Linked DNA regions of Sus scrofa. The protein of the gene in region 1 binds, or shares a complex with, the protein of each later gene. Links are inferred from orthologs where the notes say so. Each region holds a gene or a part of one and is shown in the gene's direction. Other genes may lie near its edges. The genes, in order: GEMIN4, SNRPD3, GEMIN2, SNRPD2, STRAP, SNRPD1 and GEMIN5.

Region 1 (2,879 bases):
GCGGATGCTCGCCCTCTTGGTGGTCGACGTGGGCAACCCCGAGGAGGTCAGGCTGTTCAGCAAGGGCTTCCTGGTGGCCCTGGTGCAGGTCATGCCCTGGTGCAGCCCCCAGGAGTGGCAGTGCCTCAACCAGCTGACCAGGAGACTGTTGGAGAAGCAGCTCCTGCACGTCCCCTACAGCCTGGAGTACATTCAGTTCGTTCCGCTGCTCAACCTGAAGCCCTTTGCCCAGGAGCTCCAGCTCTCTGTACTCTTGCTGAGAGCTTTCCAGTTTCTCTGCAGCCAGAGTTGTCGGAACTGGCTTCCCCTGGAAGGCTGGAGCCACGTGGTCAGGCTCCTGTGTAACAGCCTGACCGGCCTTCTGGACTCAGTGAGGCTGATCCAGTCCGTTGGCCCTTGGGCCCAAGGACAAGAGCAGGACCTGAGCCAGGAAGCCCTCTTTTTTTACACGCAGGTGTTCTGCCATGTCCTGCACATCATGGCCATGCTCCACCAAGAGCTGTGCGAACCACTCTACGTTCTGGCCTTGGAGATCCTCACCTGCTACGAGACCCTGAGCAAGACCAACCCTTCCGTTAGCTCCTTGCTCCAGAAAGTCAACGAGCAGCGCTTCTTAAAGTCCATTGCCGAGAACATCACCCCTGAGGAGCGGCGCCAAACCCTGCTGCAGAAGATCAGCAGCTTCTGACCTCGGGGATCAGAAAATAGCTGGGCCTCACCCTGGCGGGGTCTGCAGGCCCTGAGCTGAGAAACGCAAACTTTCCAGGTACGTGACATTGTACAGAAGCCCAAAAATGTGACAGTAGCAGTGCAAAGAAAATAGTTTCTTAGGTATTTGTAACATACAAATTATAATAAAATGCTCTCTGGAGTTTCATCTTGCCTCTTCTTCCCCCCCCCACCGCCTTCCCCCACCCCGCCCTTTTAGGGCCACACCTGCTGTGGGACTACGCCACAGCCACAGCCACGCCAGATCCAAGTCACATTTGCAACCAACACCACAGCTTGCGGCAGCGCCCGGTTCTTTAACCCACGGAGCGAAGCCAGGGATCAAACCCGCATCGTCAGGGATGCCGTGTCGGGTTCCTACCCACTGAGCTGCAAAGGGAACGCCCATCTTTCCTCTTTTGAGCCTTTCTTATCAGTGGTCTGGGCTCGGCAACACACTCTGAACTCGGGCTCAGCCCGTCTTAAAGATCAGGTCAGGCCGGGAGGAACAGCATCGTAACTGGCCTCCACCCGAGAGTTTGGCAGGTAAGTCTAAAGGGGGAACCACCCAAGTGGCCCCATCACAAGGGCGGTGTTGTGTACTGGGACTCGTTGTAAGAGTCGTTTGAGGGCTCTTGGAAGGGGCAGCAACTACGGAAAGGACCCTCCTCTGCCCCCAGGCGGCCCTGTGATTGGTGTGTCTCCAGGGCCTGCAGCCTCTGTGAAAGGAGAGGGTTGGACCAAGAACATGAGATGTTGGGGGGCAGATCAATGACCTTCAGAAGATGCCCCACAGAGTTGACCGCCCCCCCCGTCATTCAGTGGATCCCCAAGGGCCTGTGCTGAAACTGCCTGGTAAACACAGCTGAGGCGTGTGTAGGGGACGGGTGTAATTATCTTCTGCCTCGGATGGGTTGTCACAGTTTAAAGAATGAGCAGGAGCAGGGATGGTGTGCAAAGATGCGTGAAAATGAGAATTTCACGTGCCCAGCATCTGTGACAGAGCTATGAGGACTGGCCGGCAAGGTGTCTACCTGGGAGGCCAGGAAGGACAGGAGGAGCCCCGTCCCGGTCAGATCCACGCCCCGGTCAGAGCGAGGGCCTGTGCACGTTTCCTCCCCCCCTGCAGTGGGCTGGCTCCACGGCCTCCCATTGGCTGTGCGCCCTCCGGACAGACTCCTAGTTGGGATTCACCTGGGAAGAGAAGGGCCTAAAGGTCCATGATTCCACTGGGCCTGAACTCTGGAACGCTGCCTCGTCTTCCCAGAACCAGAATTACAGGATCATGTTCAAGAGAGGTGTGAGTCAGGCCCTCCTGGAGGCTGGAAAGCGCTCACACATCCCCCGCCCCGGCAGCCGGCCCCCCTGCCGCTTAGATGAGAACTCAGGCCAGAAACGAGCAGACGGCAGCCATTCACGTTGGGTCACAGGATGGATCTTAGAGTTGGTATGGCTGTATTTCACAAACGAGAATGAGTTGGAAAATATTAGTGCAATTTAATCACCACAGGAGTGATTTATCAGGATACACTGATGGTAAACAAAACAGTAAAAAAAATTACAGCATTTTATGATTTTTAAATGGCACCCATTAAAGACTGAAATAGTCAAAATCGAAGACACTGTTACACATTCAGTACTTTAAAAGTTCACGAACAACAATGGATTAAGTAAAAGGCACTTTTAAAAACCTAGTTTTTTAACTACCTCTTGGGGAAAAACTTCATGGTAGCGGGTTCTAAACCCCATCCTTGTTAAGGGACATTTAGTGTTGGCACCAGAGTATCCTCTTTGCAAATGGCAGGTGAAGAAGTCCGTCCAAGGACAGGTTTCGGCCAGGGCTGTCTTGCGCTCTTGCCCTCCAGCCTCCTGGGGCCACGCGGTGGTAACTCAGATAGGAGCAGGCTTTGGACCACAGGCTCTGGCTTATCGGGAGGCAGTCTAGCTAAGATATCTCAGGGTTTGGGGTACAGAAGTCCTTTCTGCTTCATATGAGAAGGACAATGTCAAAGAGGGGGGTTACGCAGCAAATAGTGCAGTAGCTGTCACTTGCTGTTACCCTGGAGTTTTCACAAGAGCATCCTGCGTGTGTCGATCCGGTGAGAAGGCTTGAGGGACACACCAGAAAGGGAACGGTATCTGTGGCGTGTTTACAGCAAGCTCACAAGCTT
Region 2 (4,517 bases), on another chromosome or scaffold:
GAATACTTAATCACTCTCAACCTCAGTCTGCTCATTTCCCAAAGTGCAAATAACAATGGTAACTGACTTCAGGAAGTCGTTATGAGGATTAATGAGAGTCTGAATGTGAACAATTTAGCAGAGTATCTGCCCATAGAAAGCTCACTGTAAATATGAGTCATTACTTCCCTGAGTGAGGCTCAGAACATGCAAGTGTCTGGTCCAAGATCACAGAATTAGATAATTAGAGGATTAGGGAGGCCAATCCCCGGGTAACTCCAGACCCTACTCCTTGCTGCAGTCACAGTCAGTATCCTGCTGATTCCTTAGGGTCAGGCTCCCACATGCTCTTGACTTCTCCCAGGAGCTGGGACCTCACTTTAGAGTTTACCAGCACTTCCTTTCTCACCAACCCTGTGCCTTAACCAGAGCAGGAATTACTGCTCTCTCCCTCCCCAATTTAGCAAAGCAAACCGAGGTTCACACACAACCTGAGTTTTGGTTTCTGCCTGCAAGGGAACACAGGCCACCTGGGACATAAGGAACTAGAGTGAAGAACTCTAGCAAGACAAAACACTGAGTCTGGGAGGCCGGGGGGGGGGGCCTCCCCCATTGCTCTATGCTCCCTGCCAGTTCCCTGCCCTTCTAGGCCTCAGTTCCCCGAGGGGACAGGATCTCTCACGGCAGCTTCAGCAGGACTTTTCGCTTCTGGGGAAGCTGCCGCCCCAGCCTCTCAACCAGGACCCTCCCACCAAGACCGCCATCAGAGCTGCCTGGGGTTCCAGCCCTGGGAGTATCAGGAAACCCCAGCAGACCGCGGTTGGCGCTGCGGGAGCCAAGGCGGGGTGTACACCTGGCCAGACTTCACTCAAAGCTCTACAGCCTAGGACATGGCGGCCGTCGGTCCAAGGTCACGCGGCCGGACCCTGACCGCTGCTAGGGTGGGCCCCCCTGTTCCCCTGGATGAGGGCTAAGCCCTCAGGGAGCACTGACCGGGCTCGAGCGGCGGCCCCGATGCCTCCCCCTCCGTCCTCATGACGTGGGCGGCGCGGGGCTCCCATGGCCCCGGCCCGGCGCCGGCTGCAGCTTCGGCCTCGTCTGGGGCGGGAGCGGGGCCGCTAGTCCCCGGGTTCCTGGGCCGCCACCGCCACTGCCAGCACGGTGGGGAGAAGGGGAGGCGGCAGCTGGGCCGCCCCAAGCCCCGCCCCGGCCCTTCCAGGCCTTGGCCCGCCCCGTCCGCCCTGGGCCCCGCCCCGGCCCGCCCCCGCCTCCTCTGGCCCTCAAGCCCTCAGGCTCCCAGGCTCCTGTCTCCGCTGGTCCCGGCCGCTCAAAGTGTCAGCTCCCAGGGTTGCCGCCCCGACCTCCGAGGCCTGGCGCGGACGCGCAGCCCTTCCCGCCCCGCTCCCCGGAAGCCCCGCCCAGGCCCGGGAGTTCCACGAACGCGGGCTCCCCAGAGCCCCCGGCAAGCTCCGCCTCTGCCAGGTCCTACTCCTCCGCCAGCCTCGGGGCCGGGAGACCCAGCCCCACCTCGACTCTCTTTGGAGGGACGGCCGAGGGCCGGCACCCGCTCTGCTCCTGTCTCCCTCTCCGCTCAGGGGTCCCTTTACCTGGCACTGCCGGGTTCCGAAGGTTAAATTGTGAGGGGAGGTCCTGGCCCTCGGCCCCACCGCTGCCTCCCCCGATCCCCGCCTCGCCGTCCAGCCCGTCGCCGGTGTGAGGTGTTTGGAAAAGCGAGTCCCTCTCTGCCCTTGCCGGCCCGAGGGTCGGTGTTTCCGGCGGCACCTGGGTCCAGTCATCAGTCTTCCGGGGCCGGAACTCTTGAACCACAGACCGAGTTTCCCAGCCGGTGGGGTGAGGTGGAAGCGAGGACGAGACCGCGCTCACCACTGGGAAAAGGAAGAGGGCGGGCCCTGCGCGAGGCATTTTGGGAACGCGTGGTATTCTGGGAGCGCGGGACCCGCCATTCGCTTGTCTCACGCTTCGCAGTCGGCAGAGTCGCGGCCGCACCGGGAAGGAGGAGGAGACCTCAGGCGGTGAGGGGAGGCTGGGGGCGGGCGTGGGGAGGCCGAGGCACTCGGAGGAGTAGAGGGTTGGAGAAGGACGCGCTGCCGAGGAGCTCCGCGGGGCTCGCCGAGGGACAGGAGCGGGAAGCCGGGCCACCAGACAGTGTCGCCTCACTAGCGCTTGGAAGTGAGGTCGTTAGCTTTTCCTTCAGTTTCCATACCTCCCCAGGCCAGTGTTTTTCGAAGCATCCAGGCAATGGTCTTGAGGTCGTTTCTGGCTAGTTGCTTCCTTCCCAAGTCCTTTGCTTCCCTGCCTCCATCCGCCCCCTCATGCTTTCTACACCGTTACACAAGCTTCTTTCAAGTTTCCCTGCATCTAAGCTGTGTTCGAACCATTTTGTAAGTGCTGCTGCCTTTCCCAGGGATAATTCCTTCCCTATAGTCCTGCCGTGGTTCTCCCATTGCGTTCAGCATAAAATCTACACTTCTGAGGCTTCTCACGAAGGGCGCCTGTCTCTTTCACTGCTCTTCCTTTTTCTCTTTATGCAGGAGATGTATTCCACCTTTCAGCTGACCATTTTGGAATTTAAAAACCGACAGCTTTCCTCTTTTAAGGTCAAGTCAGGCTTGCCTTGATTCCCTTTTTTCTCCAAGATAAGCATTTCCTGTGTGTAGCACATTATCACTTTGTGAATACTTTGATATTTTCTCTTTAACTTTGATGGTGAAGTAAATGGAGAGTCAAAGAGCACTTACTGGGTTGAATTAAATGCATGGACTCTTCTTGATTTTAATTTTCGTTCTTTTTTTTTTTTTTTTTTTTTTGCCACCCTGAGGTATATGGCGTTCCCTGGCCACGGATCAGATCCAAGCCATGGTTTCCACCTTCCTCGAAGCTGCAGCAACCCACTATGGTGGGCCAAGGATCGAACCAGTGTCCCAGGGCTCCAGAAATGCCTCAGACCACATTGCGCCACAGCTGGAGCTCCTTATTTCATTTTAATTTTATTCAATTTCAGAACTTGCAGTGGTTACTGTTTTGGACAGCTCAGGTCTACGTCCTACGTTCTCAAGGTGATGTTACCCACTGCTTTGGGTTAACAAGTACACCTGCCTTCCAACCCCCTCTGCTGCAACATAGTTATTTGATAAAGATAAAGGGACCTGTGGTAGCAGGGAGATGAGAGGCAGTCTTTTCATTCCTGTTAGCTTTCCCTCTGTCTAGCCCCCCTGTTCCTCCCCACCCAATCTTGCATCTTGTTTGCTAGATATGTTCTTCAAGCTGGGGTTAAGCTACTTTTTCAAGTTCCTTTGGGAGTTCCCTTCCTGGCTCAGTGGTTAACGAACTTGACTAGGATCCATGAGAATGTGGGTTTGCCCCCTGGCCTTGCTCAGTGGGTTAAGGGTCTGGCATTGCTGTGAGCTGTGTAATCGCAGATGTGCCTCAGATCCTGTGTTGCTGTGGCTGTGGCATAACCCAGCAGCTGTAGCCTCTATTCAACCCCTAGCCTGGGAACTTCCATATGCTGGGGGCGCAGCCCTAAAAAGCAAAAAAAATAAAGTTAAAAAAAAAAACACGCCTTTGGCATTTTTGCTGAGTGTTACAGAGTGTCCAGCCTTGAGTGAGGCTTGTGCCACATGCCTCTCAGGCCCTGAACCATGAACTCTTATCTCTCTCTCTCTCTCTCTCTCTCTGTAGAATTCTCTTCCTGCCGAGATGTCTATTGGTGTGCCGATTAAAGTCCTACATGAGGCTGAGGGGCACATTGTGACCTGTGAGACGAACACGGGAGAGGTGTACCGAGGGAAGCTCATTGAAGCCGAGGACAACATGAACTGCCAGGTATCCTGCTTTGCACATGAGCCTATTGGGGGGAGCTTGAGCCTGTGTCTTGGAGGACAGAAAGCTGGTGATTGAGGGTCTTTTTGAAGTTCTCATTCAGCAGTTACTGAGAGCTTAGTGAATGCCAGGCACTGTTCCAGATACCAGGGATGTGGGCATAGGTAAGAGCCATTTGGAATATTTAATTTTGTCCTTTGTTTCCCAACCCCATAAACCGTTTTCTCCCATATCTCGGGGCCTGTTTAAGAGAAGTAGCACAATGTTCAGTAGAACCATTAGGTTCAGGGTCGCTAGTAACTCATCCCTACTTGTTTGCCCATTGCTTTGCAGTTTGCATACCATGTGGTTTGGATACCATATGTAAATCTTCCACTTATATATGGTAGTTATTTGCCATTCTTCTTGGGGGAGGTATCTTCTTTGATTGCATTTATAGCAGCTACCCTGTGAGGTAAGAAGGTTTTGATGATAGCTTTGTCATCCATAAAATGGGAAAGATAAGATTAAAGGACTTAATTACTGTACTTACTTGCTAATAAATATTGAAGCCATTTCTTGACGTGGTGCCCTTCTGATGGCAGTACTTTGATTTTGCTAATAATTATGTGAATTTGTATAGCATCACTTTACAAAGTGTGTGACACTTTCTTAAGAGCTTGGGCTTTGGAATCAGATCTGGATTTGAATCCTGA
Region 3 (3,958 bases), on another chromosome or scaffold:
CTGCACTGGCTGAATGTAAAAGTTCCTAAGCCAGGAACTCATGCCACAGCAGTGACCAGCACTGCTGCAGAGACAACACTGGATCCTTAACCCACTGTGCCACAAGAGAGCTCCTAATTGGTCCTGCTTTTTTTCAGTCTGACAATGTAGAATAAATATTTCTTATTTGATTGGACAGCCCTTTAAGTATGTGGAATATGTAATCATGTCTCCTTCCCTGGGATTCTCATCCTTTATTCTTGTAAGCATTCTTAGTGTCCCATATCAGCTCCTATCTTTATCACCCTCTTTTGAACACACTCTTGTTTGTCACTGTCCATAAAGTATGATTCAAACTATAGAGTTCCCATTGTGGCTCAGTGGGTCAAGAACCCAACACAGTGTCCGTAAGGATGCAGGTTCGATCCCTGGCCTCCTTCAGTGGGTTAAGGATCTGACATTGCTGCAAGCTGCCATTGTCACATTCGTGGCTCATATCCTGCATTGCTGTGACTGTGGTGTAGGCCTGTAGCTTCAGCTCCGATTTGACCCCTAGCCTGGGAACTTCCATATGCTGTAGATGCAGCCCTAAAAAAAATAAAATAAAAAAATAAGTAAATAATAAAGTACAATCCAAACTAAATGCTGGTGTGACCATCAAAGTCTGAGATCAGGGTGTCGGTACATTTCTCTTCAGGCCTCTCTCTTTGGTTTCAGATGGTCATCTTCTTGCTTTGTCCTCACATAGTCTCCTGTGTGCACACACATGTGTAATAGCTCTCTGTCCACATTTCCTCTTCTTATGGATGCAGGTCATTTTGGATTAGGACCTGCCCTAACTACCTCATTTTAACTTAATTGCTGCTATAAAGGCCCAGACTTCAAATAATCACATTCTGAGGTACTGCGGGTTAGGACTGCAGCACGTGATTTTTAGGACTACACAGTTCACTCTTTCGTAACAGGCAGTATATCTTTGTGTTGAGGTGGTGGGGATACAGAGGAATTCTCACTTATTTTTTTCACTGTTGAGTATTTTCTTTAAAAATTATATAGGAATAACTAAATTCTTCTTCTTTTTTCTTTGTTTTAGCCAAAATCTGAAGATGAAGAAGGCTGGAAAAAATTTTGTCTCGGTGAAAGGTTATGTGCTGAAGGAGTTACTGTTGGACCAGCTGCAAGTGAAAGTCCTGGAATTGATTATGTACAAGTAGGTGATAATGTGGCTACACAAAGAAAAATTATAATTTCAGTGCATGATTTCATGTAAAGACTCAGCAAACTGCAGTCTAGGCCAAATCCAATCTGCAACCTGTTCTTGTCCAGCTCATGAGCTAAACATAAAAACTTTATAGTTTTTACATTTTTAAAGGGTTGTTAAAAAAAATTAATAATAATGTGACTTAGACAGTATATGGTCTACAAAACCTAAAATATTTGCTGTCTGGCTCTTTACGGAAATTACTTGCCAATCCCTAACTTAGTTCATTGGCTCTTTGACTTAAAAATTGATAGCCTCATTTATAAAACAATGTACTGTGGCTCTTTTTAGGTTAGCTTCATATCTCTTATGGTTTAGCTTTTTAATAATTTTGTCAGATAGGATTCTTTTTTTAAAAAACCATTAGGCATGAGTCAAACAATGAGTTATAAGTAGTCAAGGAAACAAAGTTAGGTGCTTTAAAATGTTTATTCATAAATTCATATTCTGGAGATTAAATGTTGAGGGTATATTTTAATTTCACGTGACTTTATTTTATTTTTTTTGCTTTTTTTAGGGCTGCACCCGTGGCATACGGAGGTTCCCAGGCTATGGGTCTAATCAGAGCTACTGCTGCTGGCCTACACCACAGCCACAGCAATGCAGGATCCAAGCCACGTCTTCCACCCACACCACAGCTCATGGTAACGCTGGATCCTCAACCCACTGAGCGAGGCCAGGGATCAAACCCACAATCTCATGGTTCCTAGTTGGATTCTTTTCCACTTCACCACAATGGGAACTCCAATTTCACGTGACTTTTATTTTAATCATAAATTATGTAGCTATCTGCTTCTTGTCCTTTAGCATTCGCTTGCCTTCAGCATTCGCTTGCCTTCAAGTGTGCAGATGTTCCAAGGAAACTCACTGTATTCATCTGCATTACTAGTAACTCCTGAAACTATGTTGTTCTGTTGAATAGATATTTATCATTTTCTGTGTGGTGCCACATTGTGTTTTTCCTATTAAAATTAGTTTTAAAAAAATAAATAAATAAATAAAGTAAAATTAGTTTAGCCCCAAAATGTAAAGCTCCAAAAATCACTGAAAAACACCAAGAACCCAAATTAAAAAAAAAAAAAAAAAGGCAAAGAATATAAAGGACATCTCACAAGAAGGAAATACAGATTGTTCTTACATGAGAAGATGCCCAGACTCACTTATGATAGAAATTTAACTTATAATTGCACTGAGCTGGTATGACATATTGGTAAAGAAAATTTGATACACTGAGTCAACAAAGGCTAGGAAGACAGGCACTCTTACACATGGTAGTGGGAGTGTAGACAGATTCAAATCTCTAAGGGAGCTAATTTGACACTGTTTCTTAGACAACTTATGTTCTTTGGGATAATATCCATAATATATTTTAATTTGACACAGAATTAAAATATATATAGTTCGTTATTACCAAATACATACAGGTGAGGGAGTTCCCATTTGGAGCATTGGAAACAAATCTGACTAGTACCCATGAGGATGCAGGTTCGGTTTCTGGCCTTGCTCAGTGGGTCCATGGTCCGGCGTTGCCACGACCTGTGGTGTAAGTTGCAGACATGGTTCAGATCCCGCGTTGCTGTGGCTGTGGTGTAGGCCGGCAGCTATATCTTCGATTCAACCCCTAGCCTAGAAGGCTTCCATATGCCACGGGTGCACCCCTAAAAAGAAAAGAAAACAAAACAAAACCCAAAATACATACAAGTAAAGCATATCATGTGAAAGAACAATTTAAGAACATAAAAGTTTAATGCATGTCCTCAAGTTTCGCACCAAGTCAGGACTGTTTTCATAATCCAGGCTTCCCGCATTAAATTCCAAAGCACTTTCTTAAATTGAAGCAGACTAGGTTTGAAAAAACTCATTCAAGTGCCTTTAATTCCTGAAAATAATAACTTTAGCTGAAGATTTTGAAAAAGTGTATACAACATATTAATGTCATAGTATCATTTTTTTCAGTTTCACGTTTTAACATCTTAATTACTAAAATCGTTCTTTGGTTTTAATTTACGTGTTCAAATGTTAAGACATTATTTTCTTGGGCATTACCAACATAATAGCTCATGGAATATTTTATTGTAATGGACAGTGGAGAAATTTTTCTTTTATCTAGTCTTTGTTCTTTAATAACAGTGTGTTGAGAAATTCACCAGTTTGGAAAAAAAAAAAAAAAAATGAAGCCCCCTCCTTGTAATACTATTTAGTAAATTTCAATTTAATTTTTCTTTCAGATTGGTTTTCCTCCCTTGCTTAGCATTGTTAGCAGAATGAATCAGGTAAAGTCTGTCTGATAATAAGAATGTTAAGTGTTCTTTTGTTTGCAATGTGTGTTAAAATATTTAAATAATTTGCTGAATATTTACAGTATGTAAGACCCAGTTCTAGACTTTGTAACAGTTCTTATTTAATCCTCACTACAACCCTTTATGGGGGATTATTATTAATACCTATTTTTTTGTAGCTGAGGAAACAGAATTAAAGTCACTTGGTGGTTTTTCAGTGAATTTTAATGGTGACATTGGGACTCAGCCCCAGGTTGATCTGATGTTAGAACTCATGCTCTTGATCATGGTGCTAAACTATTCACATATATACATTTTAGTTATAAGTCTTAGATTCTGGGGTTTGAAATAAATACTGAGATCAAAAAGGTGTTTCTAGTTCTGGATGACCTACGCATTTCACTAAGAATGAAATTTGAATTTCTTGGATCAAAAGGGG
Region 4 (4,407 bases), on another chromosome or scaffold:
GATGGGAGAAATCGAAGCCCAACGAGAGGAAGAGACTTCCAAACAGCTGACTTTAGGATTAGAACCCAGAACTCCCAGGCTTACTACTCCAGACCCTTCCTCTTACGGTGCAACCGCTATTATAGAAAAAGCCCGAAGCCTCATTGCATTGGAAAGGGGCATGCGCTCTAACGACGAAGATCGCGGCACCTGCGGCTAGGGCCCCACGATAACGATAAAGCCACGTCAACCTGAGACTTTGAGGAGGGGGAGGCGGGGAATAAGGGCTCCCCTGTCCCCGTCCGGCCTCACCCGCATCTCCCGGCCCAGAGGCAGCTCCTCAGTCTGGCGGTGCCAGCCGCTCCAAATGGTATAGAACACCGAGGCCACCGCCAGCGCCAGCAACAGCAGGGGCAACAGCTGCGCCCGCGGTAGCAGGCGGCGCTTGGGCGGTGAGGGTGGCTCCAAAAGGCCGCGTTCCCCAAGCCGTAGCCGGGGCCGCCCGCGGCCCCCTGAACGCATGGCAGCTTCGCCCTGAAACCGGTCGGGGACTGCGGATGGAGTTTAGGCCAGCCAAGTCCCACCCCATGGAATCACCGGACCAATAAGCAACAAGAGCGGCTGCACCAACCCACCCTTCAGCAAGCAGTAAAGCCAATGGGGACTTTCGTACTGAGGACACGCCTCCCTGTCTCCCTGAAGCTTAAGGGTTGGTTCCCCTGAGGGTTGCACAACCCAAAAGGGAGCGCGAAAGAGGTAGGCACCGCCTCAGCGGAAGAGGGGAAGCCAATGAGAAGCATTTGATCCTAGAAAACAGCCGACCTCCTGGGCGCGGGTCCACGCCCCTCCCGGATGTAAGCAAAGGATTGGTTATTCCAAGTCCAAAGGATTAACAAACACATAAACGGACGGTCCCCTAAGTAGAAGAGGAGGTATCCATCCCTGAAGCGAGGAGCCGATTGGCTTCGTGGATGCCGCGCCCCCGAAGGCAGGGCCGGCGGGCATTTGGAAATGGCTTGTCCTTTCCCTCCTTCAACCTGTGCGGTTCTACAACGAAATGGTTTGAATAAGTCCTGCTTTCTCTTCCTCTCCATCGTCAATATCTGCCCGGTACAGTCCTGAATGGCCTCAAAGTAGTACGTAAGAGTTTTACCCTACAGCCGCCTGTGGCGAGCAGAGATCGCTATGGCAACAGGCCACGCCCCACCCACTAGCTGTGTTTGCGCAAGCGCCCACGGAAGTGGGCCTCAGGAAGCGGAAGTCCCGCCCTTCTCGCTCCTTTCAGAGGGCGAAGAAGCAACGCGGAGACGGTGGTGACTGGAGTGCGCGGTCGCGACAACTACTGCCACCGCCATGTGAGGCCGGGCTAGGCTTAGGTGGCAGGAGTGGGTTGAGGGTGTAAATCTGGCCACTTGCCGGTGGAAGGGGGTGGGCAGAGCCTGGGGCGGAAGCAAACATTTTCGGGGTAAAGTGGCGTACGTTACCGATGAGTTTGAGAACAGATGTGGGGCCTTTTTCGGATCCTGACTTTAGGAGCAGGAGCAGCTTTATCAGATAACGGGCTGGGCTTTCCCAAATAATTAGTCTTACTGAAGCGAATGTTAAGGGGAAGCGATGTACGAAAATGGAACCTGGGAGAGGGGAGTACGGACATGTGGGGAAGAACGATTTGAAGTGAGGATCTTATCAGGGTAATTTGAGCTGGAGACGGTTAGCCTTTTGACCTTATTCGTCGTTATCATGGGTCTCGAGTTATCGGAAGGATTTTACTTACGTATTCATGCAACAATTATTTATTGAGTGTTCATATGTCAGGCTTCTTTAGACACAGAATATGTTAGTGAATTACCCCACTCCCCCAAGGGAAAAAATTCCATTTTGCATTTTATGGGTTGGGTTGAGCCAGGCAATAAATGTAAAGGTAAAATATATGGTGTGTTAGGTGACCGGGGCTATGAATGAAGAAACAGTAGAGCAGGGTAAAACAATGTGGAATGCCAGTTTTGAGAGACAGGACACATGAAGAAGGGAGCAACTGGAGCAGAAAGCTGGAGAAAGTGAGCGCACAAAGATATTTAGGGACGTATCCAGGTAAAGGGGGAAAAGCAAATGCAGAAGCCTAAGAAGAAAGTTGCTGAAAATCTTCCAAGACACCCCTCTGGATGGAACGGAGTGAGAGAAGGCAGCGGATAAAGGGTTTTTACTTTCTACATTGAGATAGGAGCCTCAAGAGAGTTTCGCAGAGTGAGATGATATGACTTGGACCTTGGCACCAACCAGAGACTGCTCTGTGAAGAGCAAACTTGGAGAGCATGGGTGGAGGTAGGGAGACCATTACGGCTCTAGGAGAGAGTCGATGGAGGTTAAGCCATGGTGAGAAGTGGTCAGATTCCGATATATTTGAGAGGCAGGGATGATGGGATTTGCCAGCAGATTGAATGTAGGATGTGAGAGTAAGAAGAGTCAAGTTGACGTTAGAGGTTTTGCTCAAAGACATAGCAAGATGGAGTTGCCATGGATGGAGACGAAGGCAGCTGTAGGTAGATTAAGTTTGGGGGTACCGCGGGGCCTGGTGTTCAGCCTAGGACGTGCAAGCTTGGAACTGTCTATTAGGCAGCTGTGTGGTGATGCTAAGAGAGAGGACTGAGCCGGAGGGTGGGTGTGTTGGGGAGACAGTGAGCGAGAGGGCATGACCACCCAGGCTCTGGCTCCAGGCCCTGTCACCTATGAGTTCCATACTTGCCCACTCAGGAGCCTCCTCAACAAGCCCAAGAGTGAGATGACGCCAGAGGAGCTGCAGAAGCGGGAGGAGGAGGAGTTTAACACGGGGCCGCTGTCCGTGCTCACACAGTCGGTCAAGAACAACACCCAAGTGCTCATCAACTGCCGCAACAACAAGAAGCTCCTGGGCCGCGTGAAGGCCTTTGACAGGTGAGCACCTGGGTCTGGGGAGGTGGTCTGTCCTGGCCTGGAGAAGCAGTCCCAGCTCTAGTCTGAGGAGCCTGGATTCTAGGTTTCTTAGAAGCCTGGGGCATAAGCGTCTGAAGGTGGGGTTCCTGTCATGTCTCAGTGGTTAACGAACCCAACCAGTATCCATGAGGACACAGGTTCGATCCTTGGCCTTCCTCAGTGGGTTAAGGATCCGGCATTGCAGTGAGCTGTGGTGTAGGTCGCAGGTGTGGCTCAGATCCCATGTCTGTGGTTGTGGTGTAGGCCGGCAGCGGTAGCTCCGATTTGAACCCTAGCCTGGGAACCTCCATATGCTTCCGGTGTGGGCTTAAAAAAAAGAGTGCCTGTTGTGACGGTCTCTGTTGTTCCTCCAGCTGTAAAGTTCAGCCATGGACTTGGGGGCCAGTCCTGGAATGATGTCCTGGCTCTGCCTCTTAGCAGCCGTGTGACATTCAGCAAGGGACCATATATCTCTTCCCTACAATGGCCGTAATCTTGATGGTTGCAAAGATTCAGTCACTTAATATATGTGAAGCACAGTCAGTCCTTAGGAGTAGCGCCCCCGGCACACGGTCTTCCTCATCAGTTTTCTCAGTTCGTGCACAGTGGCCTCTGCCCTTGTGGGGTACTGTCTTAGGCTCCAGAGATGCCATGGTGACTGAATCATACATGCCTCCTGTACTCAGGGGAGTCTACAGCAAACACATAATGTGTCAGGAAGACAAGTGATGGCAAAGTCTGTGCAGAAGAGTAGAGCCAGCTGAGAGTTTGGAGTGTGGAGAGGGAGTGCTGCTGTCCTCGGTGGGTCATGCAGGAGGCCTTCTAGGTGGACAGATGGGGATAAAACGAAGGTGCAACCTAGGGTCTGCATGTTTCAGCCATGGGGAGCAGCAAGTGATTTTTCCTCTCTGGGCCTCAGTTTCCTTATCTGCAAAATACTATGCATAGAATAATACCCCTCAGAACAGTCGTAAGGGTCAAATGATTTTCTGTAGGAAGAGCACTTAACTCAGTACCTAACATGTGGCAAAGGCTCAGTAAACATATGATCGGCAGGAGTTCCCTTTGTGGCTCAGCGGTAAATGATCCCTACTAGCATTCATGAGGGCGCAGGTTCGATCCCTGGCCTTGCTCAGTGGGTTAAAGGATCCGGCATTGCCATGAGCTGTGATGTAGGTCACAGAAGTGGCTTGGATCTGGGGTTGCTGCGGCTGTGGTGTAGGCCAGTGGTTACAGCTCCGATTCAACCCCTAGTCTGGAACTTTCATATGCCACAGATGCTGCCCGAAAAAGACAAAAAAACCAAAATAACAACAACAGCAAAAAACCATTGGCAGTCCTCAGCATCAGGGAAGTGCTTTCCTCTCGGCAGGGGGGTGAAGCTTACCTCTGGATTGCTTTTGCCAATGGCTACTGTGGGACCAAGAACAAAGCTTTCACTCTGAGCCTCAATTTACTCTTGAGTAAAGTGAGAACGAG
Region 5 (4,746 bases), on another chromosome or scaffold:
TGAGTTTGTGGGTTCATTCCCTGCCCTTGCTCAGTGGGTTAACGATCCGGCGTTGCCGTGAGCTGTGGTGTAGGTTGCAGACGCGGCTCGGATCCCGCGTTGCTGTGGCTCTGGCGTAGGCCGGTGGCTACAGCTCCGATTCGACCCCTAGCCTGGGAACCTCCATATGCCGCGGGAGCGGCCCAAGAAATAGCAACAACAACAACAACAACAACAACAACAACAACAACAAAAAAGAATTATACGTACTTTAGAGACAAAAGTTTTCAGTTACCTACGCACAATAAGCAACAAATGGCCATGTATTAACATCTTACTGACTAGTTGTTCTAACGAGTTTTATCTTTTATTTAGATGCCTCCATCATTAACGCTTTACTTTACTTAATAATCACTTGTCCAGCATTCACTAAATGCCATTCACTCTTCTGATACCAGAGTAGAAAGACAACAGTGCCACACAATTGCCACTAAGGAGCTCACAATTTAAATGTCAACAGAGTGTGTGTGTGCATGTGTGTAGGAACTTGGGGTGAGGTTGGCACAGAGAAAACAAAAAAGATAGTGGAAAACATATATAGTAAGTGCTGTACTATAAATTAATGAACAAAATGCTAATGAAATAGAATGGGGAAGCACTTCAAGTCTCCATTCAAGTAATTAGACTTGAACGAAGATACATGTTTACTACAAAAAGATGAGGGAGAGGGAAACATTTGCAGACATTTGTGCTGATTAGATATGTATTGGTATGTGCCAAGACATTATGGCCTGGGATAAAGTAGTGAAAGAGACCACAAAAAAAATCTCTGGTATTTTCTGTTGACATCCTAACAAGCATTAAAGGAAAGAAATAACTTGCCCAGAAAAAGGACCCTTCTTGCTCAGGTCAGTTTTTGCATGAGCAATCAATCCATCAACAGTTCTGCTACACCACGGAGTGATATCCAAAGAGGAGAGCCTGCAGGAAGACAACACCAGTATTTCTATTTACACTGAAGTTTAAGGTTCTTCTAATATTTCTATTCTTCTCTATGCACTAATATGCAAATAACTCACAAATTATTCACTATCGCATATTTGGGGGACGGACGCAAGTTTTATTGATGTGGGTATTCATCAAAAAATTTGAGGACCATTGCTCATGGGTCTCCCAACGTCCTCAAAAGATAAACTAATTTAACTGTTTTTAGAGTCGCATAACCCTCACGTCTGAAACACTAACAATGCAAGGTTACACAGCACAAGGGGTGACTGGGAGAAAGACTTTTCTTAAGGGCCTTACTTGTAGACAATCCCAGAGGAGCTGACTATACAACTGCTAACAAAGATTGGAAAAAAAATTCTTAGACGGTGTTTGCTGGTTTGGGCCACCGCTGGAAACAATTCTGGTTGTTCAGTGTAGACGTCTAGATAGCACAGTCCAAACCACTGGACGGCTCAGTGCGTAAACCACAGATGCGGTCAGATTCGGGGTATGACTGAAGCAGGACCCGCTTCCGCACGCCCCCAACTCGACTCCAAACGGCTCAAAAACAGAAAAGCACCCCAAGCTGCTTAGAGCTCAGCGCTAGGATTTTCACCCAGTGCCTGGAACGCGGCCAAGAGCCCTGCGTAGCCAGCGTGGAGCCAGCATCACGTGCTCAACCTGAGCTGATCTCGCGCCTGCGCATTGCGGTCGCTCTCGCTCCAGTACGCCTCTTCTACCCAGCGAACCCGCCTTCCCTCCTGTTCGTCACTTCCGGCGGAGGGTTAGTGTCGTCACTTCCTGCGAGTACCGGTGTGGACGGTGGGGATCGTGGCTGCCGGTTTTCCTGTTCTCCCCCTCCCCTACTCTCCTCCCTCCCTCCCTTTCCCTCCCTCGGCGGCGGTCGACCGCCAGTCGCACACTCCCTGACCCACCCCTAACCCTTTCCTGGTTTCGGGGCCACCAGATTGGCCTTTTTCTGTTTCCCGGCCCAGCGTCAGGGCGTAGGCCTTGAGTGAGAGGCGCTGCCGCGGAGAAGAGAAAAGACGAGACGACCCTCAGCTCTCCTGCGGGATCGCTCGGCTCGCCGCCGCCATGGCAATGAGGCAAACGCCTCTCACTTGCTCCGGCCACACGCGGCCTGTGGTGGATTTGGCCTTCAGTGGCATCACGCCTTATGGCTATTTCTTAATCAGTGCTTGCAAAGGTGAGCAGGGCCGCTGGGCTCAGATGGTTGGGACTGGGCGGAAAGGGAGTGGGGCCGGCACTTCCCATTGCCGAATGGATTGCGGCTTTTGAGATTAGTGGGCTGGTAGGGCGAGTAGTGTTAAGGATTGCGCAGCTGATGCCAGGAGAAGCTTTGGTAAGTTATGCCCCCAACCAAGGCTTCTCATTTTACCTTTTTTGCTATTTCTGGATAAGCTTTACTGTGCACTTGCCCAGACGCCCCGGCCAACACCGTAAATATCTTTAAAGGATTTGGGGAATGCAGAAACTAGGCCAGGCTAAGTAACACTTTATTTTACAAAGACTTTCCACTTCTACTATTTCATTGGATATTCTTCTGTGGTATGGAATTTTTCATTTCCAATTTTCAAGTGGAAGCTGAGACTATTAAGTTTGTCCAAAATAAGGTTCACGTCTAGATTGTTTTGTTGCAGATGAATAGTCTTTCTGCCGCATTTCAAGTCCTTCCCAGAGAGAATGGCCCAGTTCTTCAGTTAATTTATTTCTGGATGTGCCTTAGTGACCCCAGTGAGTGAACAGTTAGACAACAAAAGCAGTTTTCAAGTTTGTTATTCATCACTGTTTGTTTTAAGTTCGGATCCTAGATTTTAAGTAATTTGAGCTTCTACATCACATGTTTTCTTACATATTTTTTAGATGGCAAACCTATGCTACGCCAGGGAGATACAGGAGACTGGATTGGAACGTTTTTGGGTCATAAGGGTGCTGTTTGGGGTGCAACATTGAATAAGGATGCCACCAAAGCAGCTACAGCAGCTGCAGATTTCACAGCGTAAGTGTAGCCAGAAATGGCCACCTTTACAGTTCTCTGTGAATTGTGTTCTGAAATGATCAATAATAAAAGTTCAGTAAAAGTTATTCATAAAGTTCTCATGCACTGCCTAACGTAGAGAACACATGTTGTTTTGATGTCACCAAAATTCCGCCCATATTTTATCTGCTGCTTTCTCAAAATGTTCAGAGACTTAAATGACTTAGTTCTGTATGTCTGGACTGGGACCCAGGAATCTGCATTATTAACAAGCACTTCAGATAATGAATGTTGATGGTCATGCTGGCAAATACTGCTCCACATGTTCTAGCTGAATAATACCTTATACTCCTTAACTTCTTAGTGCTTGATGCCCCACATTTTTAGCCCAGTTTCACTCTCATTTTTGTTAGACATATTTAAGATTCCCAAACTCAGTTATTTTTCATTTTCTAAGTTTCTAAATCATTCTTGATTTTTCTCTTCCATCTAGATTATCATATTTGTTGATTCTGCCAATAGAATGTTTCCTGACCACATTGTTTCTTGTACCTCTGCCACTACCTTAATGGTTTAGGTTCCTAAACTGGTCCTTTCCCATCTCTTCATCAGCCAGTTGTCTTCCTGGAGACAAATAACATAACACTTCTTTACCTAAAGATCTTTGCTTCTGCTTTGTCAGTGGCCCATGACCTTGGGTGTACATTACAGTAACCTGGGAAGCTTTTAAAGTACTCAGATGCATGTGTCTGAGAAGCTCTGGCTTAATTGGTCTGGAGTTGGAGTTCCCAACCTAGGTTTTTTTGTTTTTTAGTTTTTTTTCTTCCCTAAAGTTTTTCTGGATGATTCTGATGTACAACCTTAACCACTAGCCTAAAGGTTAAATTTCATTGTTAGCTCTTTAAAATTTGGCCTAATCCTAGTTCTTGGGCATCATCTGGCACTACACATCATATGCCCCATCATTTGGCTATACTAAATCTAACTGTTGCCAGAATATGCCTTACCTACTCTGATTTTTTTTGCTTTTGTATATGATATTAAAGTGACTTGCGATGACCCACTTTCCCTATCTGGGCATGGGTCACAGCTTATGTAATCTTGGTACCTCTAGTTCCTGATTGTGACTTAGTAAACAATAAAGTGTTTAAGGCAGGCAAGTCAAGGGCTGTTGTACGTGGAATACTCCTTATTAGATTTGAAAGTCTGGAGAGTAAAATTGTCTTGTTGATTTTTTTTTTAATAGAATTTCACATTAAGAAGCGATTCTAAATGTGTTTCTCCTTTGTTGTAAGCAAATTAAACATACCAAGTTTATTATAAAAAATGAAGGCAGATTGATTGAGATAGTGGATACCTGACTGTGCATTTGTTGAAACTCTAGACCTCTGTACCACAGAGTGAGTTTTACTATATGTAAGTTTTTAAAAAATAAATTTAAGTTTTAAGGAGTTCCTGCTGTGGCACAGTTGGGTTAAGAATCCAACTGCAGGGCTCAGGTTGCCGCAGAGGTAGGGTTTGGTCCCAGGTCCCTGACAGTGGGTTAAAGGATCTCACGTTACCGCTGCTGGCTCGGATTCAATTCCTGGTCCAGAGACTTCCATATGCTGCAGGTGCAGCCATTTAAAAAAAAAAAAAAAAAAAAGTTTTTTTGTTTTTGTTTTTTTAAGTAAGGAGAGGGAAATATAATCCCATGCTCATGTGAGATTACATTTGAGATGGTGAGAGATCTATAAGAAAAGTTATAAATGTCATCCTGAGCTTTTTTCTATGCCTTCGGT
Region 6 (4,415 bases), on another chromosome or scaffold:
AGACTACGCTGAGGGTAAGCCAAGAAGCACTCCAGCATGTAATGGCTCAGGAGACAATGAGGCAGCCTAAGGAGACCTAGAAAGAGTCATTAGTGAGATTGAATTAAAACCAGGCATACTTGGCATCCTGGAAGCCAAGAAAGGAGCATGTTTCAAAGGAGAGTGTCTGTTTTGAATGCTGCTGAGATGCTGAGTAAGAGGAAGACAGAAGTTTGTATTGGGTTTTTGATCACCATTAGAAAAGCAATCTCAGTGTATTTGAAGATCGAATTACAAGGCAATAAAAACAAGTTATAGACAGCTCATTTAAGGAGGTTTTCTGTGGAAGAAATCTGGTGGGAGCTAGAGCTGCATGAGAGGAGAATTTTTTTTTTTTAAGACCTCACCTGCAGCAAATGGAAGCTTGAATCAGAGCTGCAGCTGAGGCCTACACTACAGCTACGGCAACACTGGATCTGAGCTGCATCTGTGAACTACGCTGCAGCTTGTGGCAACACTGGAGCCGTAACCCACTGAATGAGGCCAGGGATAGATCCCACATCCTCATGAATACTAGTCAGGTTCTTACCCTGCCGAGTTCCCACAACTGGCACTACAAAATTTTTTCTTTCTTCCTTTCCTTTTTTTCTTTTTCCATTTTTGGCCATCTCCGAGGCATATGGAGTTCCCAGACCAGGAATCAGATCCAACCTACAGTTGGAACCCACACTACAGCCAGCTGTAGCAATGCAGGGCTGGACATCAAACCCGCGTCCTGGAGCTGCAGAGATGCTGCCCAATCCTGTTGCGCCACAGTGGGAACTCGTTGCTTGTTTGTTTTTTAGATAAATTTATATGTTGATAGAAAAAATCAGTAGAGAAGGAGGAATTGATGATTCAAATTAGAAGGGGATCATTGAAGGAGTGAAATTCTTGAGGAAATGAGATGGGATCCAGACTACAACCAAGAGGAATTTGCTTTCCAAAGGAGCAATAATACTTCTATCGTTGTCACAGAAAGGGAAGCAGAAGGATGGCTTCTGTTTTCTAAAAGTAGGATACGTTAGAGAGTGATTTGGGAGAAGAACTGTAAAAGGTTTGAGATAAAGAGAAGAAAGAAGGTATGAAATACTTTGTGAGCTTATTAGAGAAGCATAACGATCTCTGGGCAGTGCAAGGGACACTTTTGAGGTTTGTGACCAGAATTTAAAGTGAAAATAATCAGTTAAATTGTATGATTTTCTTCAGCACATTAAGTAACGCTGAGATACCTGGTGGTGGAGCATAATCCTTTGGGATTCTCCAATTATTTCCTTTCATTCACGAGAAAATTTGGTGCTACATAATACCCGGAGCCTTGTTATGCTCGCTAATAGGATTTAATTTCCTGAAATACTCTCTCTTACAGGAAGTTTCCTCCTGGATCGGCCCTAAACGCCCTTAACAGTTGCAAGGCACACCTCCTGCCGCCAGAGGCCGCACTGGCGCTACTCGCGGCCGGAAGGGAGAGTGGCCCAAGCGCAGCCTCGGCGTTTCCGCCGTGAGTGCGCAGGGATCCGCGCGCTCTTTACGTCGATCCCCGGGAGTAAGCGTTTCCGGTCATTCATTCTCCCTGCGGGTCGGCCTCTGCGGTGGGGTTTTGTGTACTATCGGACCGAGAGGATGAAGCTCGTGAGGTGAGGAGGTGACCGAGCAGGGTGGGTACTATGAGGGGATGTCCTGGACCGGGAGCGGGGGGGTTGAGCTGCCCGAGATGCAGGAGGCGCGAAAGCCGCGTGCGCGCGCGGCCTGCTAACGGCCTTCGGCGCCCGCCGCTCCCGCCCCATCTTGGTCGCGTCGCCGCGGGCACTCGACCAGGCTTCAGACTGGGTCGCCCAGGGATCTGCGGGTCTTCCGAGAGGTTGAAGGCCGGGCGGTGTTTTCCCATCAGGTGTCTTAGAGGCCTTAAAAGTACAGAGCCAGGCTTACAAGCTCTTACTTTCGGTGAGTTACAGACTTCCGTTTCTGTTAGAACGTTTCTGGCTCGTCTCAGCACTCAGGAACCGGCAAATTTAACTAGGTCCACGCTTCCTGAGAACGTGGGAGACATAAAAATTGTACATCCTGCACAAGTAGTTTAAATTAATGCATATTTTTTAATGAAACTACCGTCACACTTAAAAGAGTACTTAGAAGCTGCAGGGGTTTATCTGGAGATAATGAAATCCAATTCCGAAGTATTTTAAATCAGGGATCAGGGATGGACTTCTGATTTCCTGAGGTTTTTTTTTTTTTTAATAGTGTTTTTTTTCCCTCTTGTTGTTATTCCCTAGCCTTAAGATTATTCAACTTACATTTCCCTTTAAAATAGCCCTTTGATTTAGGAAAAAACCTCTCAATATGGGGTAGAATCACTCTTCCGTACTTTTTGGCTGATTACACAGATAATCGAGATTTATTCTGTTTATTTCTGTATTTAAATTTGGTCGATTAGTTGAGCCTGCTGAAGACTCGTTTACTGGTTGAGCTAATTCATCACAAAAACTACCTGCAAATAGATTGAGTTCTGATGTTTCTCCTTGAGGCTGAGAGCCTGGAACATAGAAGCAGAGGCTTTTACAACTCAGCCGGCAGTTATAAACTAGCTTAACTAGTTTATTGTCTGTTGAGTCAAGAATTGTCAATGTCGACCAAATAGTTAAGCACATGGAGTTCTTGGACCAGGGAACACATCCTAGCTGCATTTGCAACCTACTCGGCAACTGCAGCAATGCTGGACTGTGCCGGTGGGGATTGAACTGGGGATCGAACCTGCATCCCAGTGCTCCAGAGACGCCAAGAATCCCAGTTGTGCTACAGCAGTAGCCCACCCCCCCCTTAAAGAGTCCTATGTTGTAGTAGCGTTCGTTTTGCAGAGAAGATAGACAAGAAGATAGTTTGAGATAACATAAAGAATCCTCATTGTCATATTCAGGCTGGTGTTTGTAGAGAAGGCATTTAAGATTGACTTTTTGTCTATTTTTTTCCCTTCCAGTTTTATTGAGATGTAACTGGCTTTCAGCATTGTGTAACTTTAAGGTATATAACATAATGATTTTTTTTGGCCGTGCCAAAGGCATGTGGAAGTTCCCAGGCCAGGTATCGAACCTGTGCCATAGCAGCAACCCAAGGCTGCAATGACAACACTGGATTCTTTCTTTATTGACCAGCTGCACCACGAGGGAACTCCCACAGCATAATGATTTGATTTACGTACATCATAAAGAGTGTAGTGAACATCCATCATCTCATGTAGATATAAAATTAAAGAAATAGACAAAAAAATTTTTTTTCTTCTGATGAGAACTCATGATTTACTCTCAACAACTTTAATATATAACATACAGCAGTATTGATTACATTTATCATATTGCATATTACATTTCTAGTTCTTACTTATAACTGAAAGACTTTGTCCATTTTATTTGAGGTATAACTTTGAAGGTAAACATCTCAGAACTTAAAGTTTATTTTTTTTTCTTTTTTTTAGGGTCACATCCACGGCATATGGAAGTTCCCAGGTTAGGGGTCTAATCAGAGCAACAGATGCCAGCCTACGCCACAGCCACAGCAACGCCAGATCCAGCCATGTCTGCAGTCCACACCACAGCTCATGGCAACGCCAGATCCTTAACACACTGATCGAGGCCAGGGATTGAACCTACAACCTCATGGTTCCTAGTCGGATTCATTGTAGCTGTATCCCGACAGGAACTCCTAAAGTTTATTTTCTTAATGTCTGAATACTTGCCAGTCAGAGTCTTAGTATAGATAATACTCTTTGGAGTCTTTTGTCCCACTTAACGATAGTCCATGTTGTGACAGAATTTTCCTATAAAATTTTTTTTTTTTTTTTTTTTTTTTTTTGGTCTTTTCTGGGGCCGCACCTTCGGCATATGGAGGTTCCCAAGTCTAATCATAGATGTAGCCACCGGCCTACGACAGAGCCACAGCAACTTGGGATCCAAGCCGCATCTGTGATCTACACCACAGCTTATGGCAACACCAGATCCTTAATCCACTGAGTGAGGCCAGAGATTGAACCCGAAACCTCATGGTTCCTAGTCGTGTTCGTTAACCACTGCACCACGACAGGAACTCCTCCTATAAATATTAATGCTGTACTGAATCCTATTCTGTGTCTTAGACTATAGAAGCAAAATTCCTAATAATTGGAGAATGTATTTTGCACTGGGAAAATGGGTTTTGTATAACTAGTTTGCTAGGGATCCAGTCTGAGCTATAGCCAATGGCCTGTTCCACAGCCACAGCAACATAGGATCTGAGCTGCGTCTGTGACCTATACCACAGCTCATGGCAACGCCAGATCCTTAACCTACAGCAAGGCCAGCGATGCTAGTTGGGTTCACTAACCGCTAAGCCGTGAGGGGAACTCCTTGACTTAGCTCTCTCAGTAA
Region 7 (3,958 bases), on another chromosome or scaffold:
GGCTTAGATCCCACATTGCTGTGGCTGTGGTGTAGGCCTGCATCCGTAGCTCCAATTTGACCCCTAGCCCAGGAACGTCCATATGCTGTGGGTGTGGCTCTAAAAAAAATATAAAGTTCCCTTCTAGGAGTTCTGTGCTTTCATTTCAGGACTTTTATTTAGGTCTGTAATCCATTTTGAGTTTATTTTTGTATATGAAAGTGAGAAAATGTTATAGTTGCATTCTTTGACATGTAGCTGTCCAGTTTGCCCAGTACCACTTACTGAAGAGCATTAACTTAATTCTTAAGAACAAGGCAGGTCTTTGTCTACTGTAATACTATCACCCTGGTTTGTTTTTTATTTTATATCTACTGAATGATAGAAAGAGGGAAAAAAATGGCCAGAATCTACTTCATTTTACCCTTACATTCTTATACATAAATAATTCATACTTAGAGGAAATTTGTAAGAATAGTACGAAGAACCCCCATATACCCTTTCACAGATTCAACAACTTATAACACTTCATCATATTTGCTTTGCTCTCTGTGTATTTTTTCCAAACTGTGTTGCATGTGTCATGCCCCCATATCCCTTAATATTTGTATATTTTGTAAGAGTGAAGATATTCCCATATATAATCACGATTCCATTATAGTTTCACTTAATTTAATGTAGTAGTTTGATCTACCATGCTTATTCTTGTGTTGTCAGCTGATCCAGTATTGTCTTTTATATCTAGACCAGTCTCTCAGCCTTTTCTTTTTTTTTTAATCTTGAATTTTTTGAAGAATACTGGCCAGTTATTTTATAGATATCCCCTCAGTTTGGTTTGGACTCCTGTTTTCTCATGACTAGGTTCACGTTACACACTTTTAGCTAGAGTGCCATACACATGACGGTACATGCTTGCTATCCCATCTAAATGGTATTGTTTTCTCTGTGATAGCTTTAGAAAGAATGATAGCTAACACTTCGTGCAGTAAGCCCATATGCCAGGCACTGTGGATATGCCCACACTCTTAACTGCTAAACAGTCATTTCCCACTGAAAATCATGTAGAAAGCATGTTGCAAAATCTCGACTCTCACCTTGTTAATACGCTCTTTTATATCTTTCTGTTGTTACTGGTAAAAATGACATCATCCCCTTGTCTTTTAGAGAGCAATCCTGAATCTCCAGTGACCATCACAGAGCCCTACCGGACCCTCTCAGGGCACACAGCCAAGATCACCCGTCTGGCATGGAGCCCACATCATGACGGAAGGCTGGTGTCTGCTTCCTATGATGGTACCGCTCAGGTACTATTGCATCCTTGACTCTGTGGGTTCTTCACCTTGTACTCTAACTGAAACGCCTTCCTCTTTCCCTCCGTTTTGTACACATTCCTTCCCTCACCGATGTCTTCTATAGATACTCTGTAGAGATTTTTTTGCACTCTAGAGGGCATTTTAGTTAAGCCTGTCTGCGCCCTTGGCAGGCTAAGTTTTGGGTTTATTTTGATTTTGGTGGTGGTTTTCTTTTTCTTTTTCTTTCTTTCTTTTTTTTTTTTTTGCTTTGATGAAAGGGGAAATATTAAAAGGAATAGCAAAATTCTGATGTTTTTAAATATTTCATTCTGACCTACTGTCATTATGGAGTATGTGATGTAAAAAGTACTCCTTCCTTTTCAAACACAGAATGGTGACTATACCTCATAAAAAAATATTCTGTTAATAAATTGGTAAGTCAGATCTCCAAGTTACCAGAATCAGAGTAGACCTTAGAAACTGGGGATCTATCATCTGCGATGGATGTCTGTCTCAGTACTACTGAGTGGTAAATGAGCTGTCTGCCCAGAGCTGAAAGCCATGAAGGGCTGCCCTTTGTGAAATGGAGACTGGAGTAATTCAAGAAACAGCAAGGAAATGATCATTTGCCCAAGAATTGGGGACAAAAGAAATTAGAACCCTAAGAATTTATCACACATGAAAACGTGGGCTCTGAATTAGAATTCTCTTCATGGTTTCAGAATCCCCAGCCCAAAAATAATGACAATACGGGTTCAAGATAGTAAAATCCATAAGGCACCATTAGAAGTTTACTCAAAGTCAGCCCCATGGATGTGCCTCTTGCCCCAGAGCACAAAAGCTTCCCATAGGAAATAGTACTCTCTGAAACTCATCTCCTCAGAGAAAAGAACAGATCACAAGAGGAAATAAGAATACACAGATATAAAAAATTTTTGCAAAATGTCTATACACCCCCCCACCAAAAAAAAAATTACCAAAAATTATCTATTCTCTTGTGTGGCTTTTGGTTTTAGGTGTGGGATACCCTCCAGGAAGAGCCTCTGTACAATTTCCGTGGACATCGAGGTCGACTGCTTTGTGTGGCTTGGTCCCCGTTGGATCCAGACTGCATCTACTCAGGGGCAGATGACTTCTGTGTGTACAAATGGCTCACGTCCATGCAAGAACATTCCCGGCCTCCTCAAGGTCAGTCAGAACCTGGAGCATGAAGGCTTGCCTAATTCAGTAACTGAACTGATCAGAGTCAAGCAGGGAAGACATTCGTGCAGTGTGGCGGCGGCAGTGTGGTAGGGGGATGAAGCCCACACAAAGATGGCAGCCAGGAGGGGCCTGAGGACAATACGCAAGTACACCAGGCATCCACATCTTGCTTTCTAAATATTATTCTCAGTTAAAAGGGAACCCCCAGCCAGGGCTTCTTGAAGAAATGGCTAATTCCAGGTTAGGCCAGGAGAAATTCAAGACGGGCCTACAGCATCAGCCTATGCCACAGGGAAGGAAGTGCTCAAAGAACTGAGATGTAGCAAAAGAGCAAAGAAGCCAACCTGAAGGGGCTGCCTCCCCAAATCTGGGATGATTTGAGTTTGTAAATAATTAGCAGGAGAATTCCATTTCTGACCATAAAAGATTAACTGGTGCCAGATTTGCCCACCTACCAGACACAGCTAGAAAACTAGACATAGTATATAAGCAACTAGAAATGTATACAAAGAAATGATATCTCCACAAGGAGATTTTTTAAAAGAGTGCTCATAGCTTTATCTGTAAAATCGCCACAAACTGGAAACAACCCAAATGTACATCGGCTGGTAAATAATTGTGGTATATCTCTATAGTAGAACTCTGTTCAGGCATAATAAGAACGTAACTACTTATAAACACAACAAAATGGATGAATCTCAAAAAAAGAGTATGCTGAGCAAAAGAAGCCAGGCCCAAAAGACTAAATATTTTATAATTCTAATATAGAACATGCAATAGTTATATGTCATGTGAATTTCTAAAACAGACAAAACTAAATTTACAGTGATAGCATGTCAGTGACTGCCTGGAGTTCAGGGAACATTTTGAAATAATGTAAATATTGTATTTGTGGCATTAGGTTACCTGACTATTCGTTAGTCTAAACTCATAAAAGTATTAAAAAGTGCATATATTTTCTGGTATTAAATTATCTCGATAAAGACAACTTAAAAGCAAAAGGTAAAAACTTAAAAAAATAAATAGCAATGGGAGTTACCGTCATGGCGCAGTGGTTAACGAATCTAACTAGGAACCATGAGGTTGCGGATTCCATCCCTGCCCTTGCTCAGGGGGTTAACGATCCGGCGTTGCCGTGAGCTGTGGTGTAGGTTGCAGATGCGGCTTGGATCCCGCGTTGCTGTGGCTCTGGCGTAGGCCGGCGGCTACAGCTCTGATTCGACCCCTAGCCTGGGAACCTCCATATGCCACGGGAGCGGCCCAAGAAATAGCAAAAAAAAAAAGACAAATAAATAAATAAACAAATAAAATAGCAATATAGGATTAAAACATAAAATAGGAATCGATGAGTCCATAATGATAAAAATAAACAAATCGTTTAAATAAATAGAGAGGAGCAGAAGTTCTTTAGAGTTCAAAGCCAGCTAATAAATGTGGAGTGAATGATGGAGTAGAAGACTGCCATTTGGAATCATCACAGTAAC

The links.
Region 2: GEMIN4 (region 1) and SNRPD3 share a complex: the UniProt entries of both Homo sapiens proteins name them as parts of the SMN-Sm complex. The link is inferred for Sus scrofa from reciprocal best matches to the Homo sapiens genes GEMIN4 and SNRPD3.
Region 3: GEMIN4 (region 1) and GEMIN2 share a complex: the UniProt entries of both Homo sapiens proteins name them as parts of the SMN-Sm complex. The link is inferred for Sus scrofa from reciprocal best matches to the Homo sapiens genes GEMIN4 and GEMIN2.
Region 4: GEMIN4 (region 1) and SNRPD2 share a complex: the UniProt entries of both Homo sapiens proteins name them as parts of the SMN-Sm complex. The link is inferred for Sus scrofa from reciprocal best matches to the Homo sapiens genes GEMIN4 and SNRPD2.
Region 5: GEMIN4 (region 1) and STRAP share a complex: the UniProt entries of both Homo sapiens proteins name them as parts of the SMN-Sm complex. The link is inferred for Sus scrofa from reciprocal best matches to the Homo sapiens genes GEMIN4 and STRAP.
Region 6: GEMIN4 (region 1) and SNRPD1 share a complex: the UniProt entries of both Homo sapiens proteins name them as parts of the SMN-Sm complex. The link is inferred for Sus scrofa from reciprocal best matches to the Homo sapiens genes GEMIN4 and SNRPD1.
Region 7: GEMIN4 (region 1) and GEMIN5 share a complex: the UniProt entries of both Homo sapiens proteins name them as parts of the SMN-Sm complex. The link is inferred for Sus scrofa from reciprocal best matches to the Homo sapiens genes GEMIN4 and GEMIN5.

Annotation. Positions count from the first base shown.
Region 1 is NC_010454.4:47,114,377-47,117,255, forward strand, and holds the end of GEMIN4 (gem-associated protein 4), read left to right. Parts: coding exon 1-688; 3' UTR 689-2,323; downstream 2,324-2,879. UniProt on the Homo sapiens protein: The SMN complex catalyzes the assembly of small nuclear ribonucleoproteins (snRNPs), the building blocks of the spliceosome, and thereby plays an important role in the splicing of cellular pre-mRNAs.
Region 2 is NC_010456.5:49,583,873-49,588,389, forward strand, and holds the start of SNRPD3 (small nuclear ribonucleoprotein Sm D3), read left to right. Parts: upstream 1-1,614; 5' UTR 1,615-2,012; intron 2,013-2,045; exon of another isoform or gene 2,046-2,174; intron 2,175-3,001; exon of another isoform or gene 3,002-3,056; intron 3,057-3,681; 5' UTR 3,682-3,699; coding exon 3,700-3,825; intron 3,826-4,517. Other genes in the region: protein GUCD1, read right to left, coding at 973-1,015. UniProt on the Homo sapiens protein: Plays a role in pre-mRNA splicing as a core component of the spliceosomal U1, U2, U4 and U5 small nuclear ribonucleoproteins (snRNPs), the building blocks of the spliceosome.
Region 3 is NC_010443.5:169,682,318-169,686,275, forward strand, and holds part of GEMIN2 (gem-associated protein 2), read left to right. Parts: intron 1-1,072; coding exon 1,073-1,189; intron 1,190-3,468; coding exon 3,469-3,513; intron 3,514-3,958. UniProt on the Homo sapiens protein: The SMN complex catalyzes the assembly of small nuclear ribonucleoproteins (snRNPs), the building blocks of the spliceosome, and thereby plays an important role in the splicing of cellular pre-mRNAs.
Region 4 is NC_010448.4:52,039,326-52,043,732, reverse strand, and holds the start of SNRPD2 (small nuclear ribonucleoprotein Sm D2), read left to right. Parts: upstream 1-1,258; 5' UTR 1,259-1,332; coding exon 1,333-1,334; exon of another isoform or gene 1,335-2,233; coding exon of another isoform or gene 2,234-2,301; intron 2,302-2,730; coding exon 2,731-2,910; intron 2,911-4,407. Other genes in the region: QPCTL (glutaminyl-peptide cyclotransferase-like protein), read right to left, coding at 292-501. UniProt on the Homo sapiens protein: Plays a role in pre-mRNA splicing as a core component of the spliceosomal U1, U2, U4 and U5 small nuclear ribonucleoproteins (snRNPs), the building blocks of the spliceosome.
Region 5 is NC_010447.5:56,733,882-56,738,627, reverse strand, and holds the start of STRAP (serine-threonine kinase receptor-associated protein), read left to right. Parts: upstream 1-1,738; 5' UTR 1,739-2,061; coding exon 2,062-2,173; intron 2,174-2,850; coding exon 2,851-2,986; intron 2,987-4,746. UniProt on the Homo sapiens protein: The SMN complex catalyzes the assembly of small nuclear ribonucleoproteins (snRNPs), the building blocks of the spliceosome, and thereby plays an important role in the splicing of cellular pre-mRNAs.
Region 6 is NC_010448.4:106,796,704-106,801,118, forward strand, and holds the start of SNRPD1 (small nuclear ribonucleoprotein Sm D1), read left to right. Parts: upstream 1-1,497; 5' UTR 1,498-1,641; coding exon 1,642-1,655; exon of another isoform or gene 1,656-1,676; intron 1,677-1,887; exon of another isoform or gene 1,888-1,962; intron 1,963-4,415. UniProt on the Homo sapiens protein: Plays a role in pre-mRNA splicing as a core component of the spliceosomal U1, U2, U4 and U5 small nuclear ribonucleoproteins (snRNPs), the building blocks of the spliceosome.
Region 7 is NC_010458.4:68,303,180-68,307,137, forward strand, and holds part of GEMIN5 (gem-associated protein 5), read left to right. Parts: intron 1-1,143; coding exon 1,144-1,283; intron 1,284-2,287; coding exon 2,288-2,459; intron 2,460-3,958. UniProt on the Homo sapiens protein: The SMN complex catalyzes the assembly of small nuclear ribonucleoproteins (snRNPs), the building blocks of the spliceosome, and thereby plays an important role in the splicing of cellular pre-mRNAs.